2 linked regions of the Coturnix japonica genome follow. The protein of the gene in region 2 interacts with the protein of the main gene of each other region in a pairwise test. Links are inferred from orthologs where the notes say so. Each region holds a gene or a part of one and is shown on either strand. Other genes may lie near its edges.

What was found. The genes of interacting proteins can lie anywhere in the genome.
Region 1: the proteins of CDC73 (region 2) and HSF2BP interact in binary tests that used the Homo sapiens proteins (3 or more experiments, as listed by UniProt). The link is inferred for Coturnix japonica from reciprocal best matches to the Homo sapiens genes CDC73 and HSF2BP.

What each region holds. Positions count from the first base shown.
Region 1 is NC_029516.1:99,108,087-99,111,586, reverse strand, and holds part of HSF2BP (heat shock factor 2-binding protein), read left to right. Parts: intron 1-512; coding exon 513-662; intron 663-3,500. UniProt on the Homo sapiens protein: Meiotic recombination factor component of recombination bridges involved in meiotic double-strand break repair.
Region 2 is NC_029523.1:3,289,146-3,292,645, forward strand, and holds part of CDC73 (parafibromin), read right to left. Parts: intron 2,193-3,500; coding exon 2,051-2,192; intron 819-2,050; coding exon 782-818; 3' UTR 1-781.

The DNA.
Region 1 (3,500 bases), on a different chromosome or scaffold from region 2:
GCTTTTCAGGAATATGCCAGTTGAAAGAAGTTGGAAGAACCAGGAAGGGATAGCCAACAGTTCTCCCATAGTAATGAAGGCAGCCCATTTTGAAAAACAAAAGAACCCTCCCTTCCTTTAAGATGTTCCTGGTATCTTTTGTGAAGTGGCTGGGAAGGCTGACTTCTGATGCTGAAATCTCTTCTCTCTCTGAGATACACAGCTATTTGCTTAGGATGAGTAGACTTTCTTATCAGACTTCTCTAGGTGCCGCTCAGTCTCGATGGGTCACTTGGCCTGCCCTTGTGGACAGGCTTCTGGTTACTGTCAGCTTAAGTGATATGTTTACTACTTGGATGGAGCTCAGGGGAGAAGGTTCATATTCAGTGCAGTGAATTTGCCCCCACCCCCCCATTCCCTCCCCACACACACCCTTCCATATATGTGACTGTGGCGTTTCTTATTGAATCCTGTAGTCTAGAAACATCTGGGCTGACTTGAAATGCAACCCAAATTTCTTTGTGTCATTTCAGGAGAAACTAGACCTCCGGCAGCACCTGCGTGAGGCCAAGCAGCAGCTCCTGCAGCAAGCAGAGTATTGCACAGAAATGGGTGCAGCTGTCTGCACCTTGTTGTGGGGTGTATCTAACAATGAGGAGGCTGTTAAAACCATTCTAGGAGGAGTAAGTATGGCAGGTGAATACTTACTGGTGGTAATGCTGGTAGATATTTAAAATAAGTACCTCGTTTTGTTACACGTTTTAACATAAGAATATATTTCAGAAATAAATTGGACAACAAAGATGTTTCCTGATGTGAATATTGTTTAGGAAACATCCATATTCTTAAAAGAAGAGCAGGACCATACCAGCAAACAACAAAACCCACACAAATACCCATCAACTGTAGACAGTGTTAATATTATAACTAGTATAATTTCACTGCAGCTGCTGGAATTAGGAGGAATCAAAAGAACAAGCCTGATAAAAATATGATTTTGGTCTTCTCAAAGCTGAAATGAGAGGGAGTTGTATTGAAGCTGAGTAAATCAATATCACACTTGCTTCTGGCTTTTCAGCAACATGATACCTTTCAGTGCTACCTTTTGGTCATTCAGTATCCAAAATACAAAAAGCTGATAGGTGGACAGGTACTACAAAGCTCACCCATAGCTATGAGACTGGTATAAAACCACATTCTGTATTTTCAGGATGGTTTATAACTGTAAGAGCAGATAATCATTTAGTGACCAGCCATTGTTATTTGACTTGTTAAATGATATTGAAAGGGCACACTTCCCACAACCAAAACACGAGCAGTACTGTGTATGACCACCTTCTACAAGATAAAAGTTAGTAGAAGCTTTGTTGAAAACAGTCTTAAAAAGAAAAATCAAATAGCGTTAAGTAAAAGGCTGAATTGATACACTGACTATTTGTGTTAAAAGCCTAACTATGAAGATGCAGTTCTGTTATTTCTAAGTTTATTTGAAATTCCTAGCAATCATTACAGCCCACTGCACTGCTGGTAAGGGTCATAGAAACATTTTTGGGCATAATTTTCTTGCAGCGGTGCACATAAAATGATAAGAAAGACTTGCAGCAAGGCTACTGTGAATTACATAAAGGGATTGCATGGCACTGTATCAACCACAGATTACAACTGGCAGTGAGTCAGGTTATTAAAAGAGGATGGAGAATTGTCATACAAAGTTTTTGGTTTGGGTTATTTTTGGACAGGCTGTGCAGCTTGTAGTACCTTCTCAGGGGAAGATGCTATGAACTACAGAAATGTATGAGTACATGAAGAGTGCTTTCAAACTATTGCTCATATTTAACTGTGTGGGGAAGGGTGGCATCAATTCAAAATAACTTTATGCCTTAGGGAACAATGCTCAGCTTTTTCAATCATTGCACGGATATAGAAGTAGTTCTTTTATATAGCTCTGTAATTTAGATTGACTGATACGATATTTGTGACTAATAAAGCATTCATGTCGATGCGTGTTGGGCAAGTCAAAACTTGAGCAGCAGATTTCAAGTGTAACATGAATAGCTTGCAAGGCAGTGGGAAAGAAGTGCCTAGTGTTTCTGCTGATGCTTAACATTTCCAGAAGGAACCTAGAGAAACATCCAGAGAAGCAGCGTGAGAGACAGTATTCAAGTACACCTGCATGTGCCAAGGACAAAGTACATTAACTTCCATGAGGTTGTTTTAGGTGTCTTTGAAAAAGCTTCAGATGGGTATTCACATCACAAGGCTCTAATGTGGTAACAGAAACTGAAGGTTTAATTTCAGAAGAACATCAAGGTTTACTTCAATATAAGACATTTTGGATACTACAAGGCGATCTGCTACTATATTTATCTGTGATGGTGAAAAACTGCTCTGTGTTTTCTGGCAGCACTTTTGTATGTTAACTGATGTTTTCATTGAGGAGTTACATGGAATGCAAAGGGCTCGCTGCACCATTTCAGCTCAAGCACTTTAATGGCTGCTCTCAGAGCTGTCCTTATCTCAGTGTCTGTGGGTGAGAGATTCTTCAGTTCCATGAAAACACTGTCAAGCTAATTAGAGGCTGCACAGAGTATGTCGTGTTCCCTATTTATAAACTTGACTGATCTCTGCTTCCTCATTTGAGACCTCACCACTAGTGAAATAATGGTTGTTTGGAAAGAAGGTTCAGCAGCAAGGACACCAGTGGCACCTCAAGGAACTGACTAATAGTTTTGCCTGGTTTCTGGTTTCCTTAGCATTCTTTTGGTACTACCCTTGCATAGCATTCTTGTATAAATACAGTTCTTTTTATAACAACTTACATTAGTCTGCAGTACTAAGTTTTCTTCCTTCGTTTTCTCTTGTATCCTTTATTGCTTAAACTACAGTCACTGCTTATGTTAAAATGACCATCTCTGAGGAACATTACCTGTACATGTATATAAAGTACATCTGGTGCAAGCAGAAGTGTACTTTTTTCCCCCTTTCTCTTTCCCTGTAACCCCTTCAATCCTATTCTGGGACTTCAGTTTCATATGTGAAGGAAGAGCATTGACTCACCCTGCTTTTTACACCTCCCTGTTGGAGTCACCCAAATGAACCATGCTGCATCCCTCCCAAAACATGTAATCGATGGAGAAATAAATGAATGGTATTGGTGGGTTTGAAGTATTGTGAAGATGGTAATTGTGATAAAATACTGAATATTTCAGTCACTTTGCAAAACAAGTAGGAGTTCAGCAATGTCACAAAGTGATGGGAATTGTAGGCACTTTCTTGAGCTGTTTGGCTCTTCTTCTGGGTTGCTGCAGGATGTGACGAGGTTTCAGTTCTCATGAAATGACTTGCAAAGTTATTAAGCACACCAGGAAACCTGCGCTTTCTGTTATGCTATTTTGATCGAAAAAACAGAATCCTCTGTGGGAAATAGTGCTTCAGCAGTGTTTTACAGGTCAGCATTTATTAATAAGAAGCAGCCGTTCTTTTAGTTGCTCTCTGCGGGTTCTGCCTGCACCTCTGACCAT
Region 2 (3,500 bases):
GAGATTTAGAATTACCGTGACCTGAAGGTATTTGTATTTAAGTTTTAAGATTCAGTAAAGTGGGACATCACAAATCCAAGTCAGTTTCTAGCATTTTCATCTTCCCTTTTTCCAAGACTGACAGAATATACATATACAGGTTGACATTTTGATATCCAAAACAATCTTCACTTTTCTCAGTTTGCAAGTCCTATCGACTAAAATGTAAATTCATCCACAACAAAATATTTTCAGTAAGTGAAACAATAAGCAAAGAAATCCAAAACTAAGCTCAGAAGCTAAGTGGTTTAGAAAGCCTCAGTAATAACTATGTGTGCGTTAGCGTGTCTATCATTTTTTTTATACATTATATATATAGACACATACACACATATATACACACACGTGCGCACATGCGCACAGGCACACACACGTCTGTAACCTGCAGTGAAGATCAATCTATTTTCTAATAAGGAACATAACACATTATTTAAAAATGTGCCTAATTTAACAAAACAGAGAAGAAACTGCTGCTATCAAAATATACAATTTGAATTGCAGACTAGAAGGCTAACAACATTAAAAAAATAGTTTTAAGCAAAACCCCTTTGCTTCTGAATAACAACAGGTATCAACCTGCCAGGAAGCATCCAAACCAGATTTTATAAAAAGTTTCAACTGTGACCCTTCTTCATTTGTAAAGTTATTGACACAACATATAGTGCGAGCTCTGGTCTCCAAACTGGAGTCTCTTTCATTGTTCTCAATCCACACTCCAGGAAATGAACGGTAGCTGAAGGATTCAGAATCTCAAATGAGATTTGTGCTTCACCATGTACCTAAAAAAAAAAAACAAAACCCAACAAACAAGTTGACTACTCTTTTGGTATTAATAGACATTGTGCTCTCAGGAACAATAAACAGACTTTGTTAAAACTCCACTCTTAGGGCATTAGCTAGTTGCTGAATAGATGAAATGCCTTATAATCCATCAAGCTCTATTAAACACAATATCTACCCCATTAGAAGACAGTCAGCTAAAACGTCTGCTTCAAAGAAAATTCATTCTGTCACATGGATTCTAGCATTTGATAACTGTTGCTAAAGATAACCCATTCAAGTTCATTCTAAGAATCTGAATATATAGTTGAGCTGAGACTTTTAAATAAGAAGGCACAGAAAGTTTGATGCTCAGAATCATTTAGACAACTCCCACAGGATTTTTCTTTTTGAAGTCCACTCAATCGTTCAAGCAGTTTGCCGTGCAATCAACATGAAAAGATTAAATGCTCATTAAATGCATGGACTTGTCTCTCCCTTCAATATTTCAACTGCTTAATGATAAAAAGTTTCTCTTCACAACATGAAAAAGATATTACAATGAACTTGGTATTCAAAGAAGGTTCAGAACCAGAGAGAAGCAGGCAGAAACAGCACCACTTTTCAGAGCTGCTGGTGCACTTCCATTCCTCAATTCTCGTGCAAGGCGTTGCTAAAGTAAGCAGAAGGTTCCAAAAATGCAAAGTGAAAACACTACACCTAAACTCAATGCACGTCATATCTTTTCTGACCTTTGTCTTCTACCTGGTGCTGTGGACTCAGAGGCATCAGAGTAAGATTATGCTTTGTGGCTATTATCTTGACAGTAGCTTCTCACCTTTACAAGAAGACTGTAATCTAGTAAGGTAGGGATAGGAAAGAGGAGAACTACAGCTCACAACTGCAGTTCAAATGAAGGGCTGGGGGAACAGCAGCAAACTGCACCATATGTAGGGTGATGTTTTCTGTTCCTTTGCCTCTGCCTAAAAGGATATGGGGAATCACTACTCTAAGTCCATGATCAGTAATCATCCTTCTTTGACATCCATGCATATTACCCTTTGAAGAGGCTTGTTCCTAATTTATACTGGAAATATAGTGGTATGTACGTTAAGAAGTCTAAAAAAATATTTAACACCTAAAGCATTGTTATGCCACTGAAGCTGTATATGGTACTCGTCACCTTAAGTTCATTCTTCCTACTCAACATCACAAAAGCACAAGCATAAGAGATTTTCAACATGAAACGTACCTGTCTAACGTTTCCCAGAAGCGTAGAAATACTGGCCTGTCCAAATGTCTTTTGTGGTAGCTTAGTTCTAACACTGTTACATCCCATTTCTGCACATTTGGATCCAGGCGTACTTCATCATATTTGAGATGAAAAGCTTTAACTACAGGAAACAAGAAAACATTTGACACACAAACAAGAGGACTTTACAGTGCTTAATTATTATTCAAAGAGAATCTCCCCCTACTTCAGAATAAAATAAACAAGTCTTTCTCAAGAAAATCAGCTATTTAATATTGAACTCAATACAGTGGTCAGTGATCTCTGCCTGGCACTAACACCACACCACAGTTCTATGCAAAAGACCTATTTATAGCCAGTTTTATCTTTAATTTATATCTCTTTCTCAGGGCTAATTTTATCTTTCTAGATATATAAATCCCAGGAGAACAGTAGGAAACTCATTGCCAATTCATGAGTATTTTCTTTAGAAAGCCAGGATATTATTTCTGAAGATTCTGGAATCCCCCAAAACCTTTCAAAGAAATCCCACCATAACAAAACCAAAAACAACAACAAAAAAGCAAGCGATTTCTGACACCACTGGAAGGCTTAAGTCAATGCCAGTGTAACCCCTTAATGCCACATGAAGTATGCTGAGAAAGTCAGTAAATGCCAATTTCCTCTGATCTAATGCTAAGCTAATAACAGTAAAACATTATCAGTTCATTTCCTTTTGGGAAGGCTTGTCTCATGCAAATTATGTAAAGCCAAGCATTAGCAAGATGAGTCTTACATTTTTCTTGCCCTTCTTTTTGCTTTCTGGACCAAATCATCATTTTGACATGATTCAGCATAAAGTACTTGAGACTTGTGCAATCCCTTCCTGATAATCAATTAATTGCACTATCTATTTTGACGTCCCAACACCCACAGTGTGCAACTTCTCAAAAACAATCATGCACCTAATCCCACGGAGGACTGAATCTTGGAGGCAGTGTCACACAAAACCTGACTGGACATGTCTCCTCACCATACTGACTGAAAGATAACAGACTGAATTATTGTTTTTTTTTTTCCTTTCTTCTGAATTTTGAGTTTTTTGTTTGTTAAATCTGCAGGTTCTGAAAACAGCACACACTGAAAAAAAGGCCTATTTTCTAAAGCAACTTCACAATTAAAAAATAGCAGAACAGAGGCTTACAGTTCCTTTCATGTTACAGTACACATTGCAAATAGACGAGAGAACTGTGCAGTGTAAGTGCACTGCATATACCAAAGCATACATACATAACAGTGCTAATAGAAAAAACTTCAGATCTACGCAGTGGAAGCATATAATTCACATACTGGAAGTACCTACATCTTATTAGACATTCAAGTTTTTGTCAAGACACCACAGCATACTTGTAAAACTTCCTTACTAAAATACTAGCTGGTTATTCCTCTCTTCAAACACATATGTAATCAC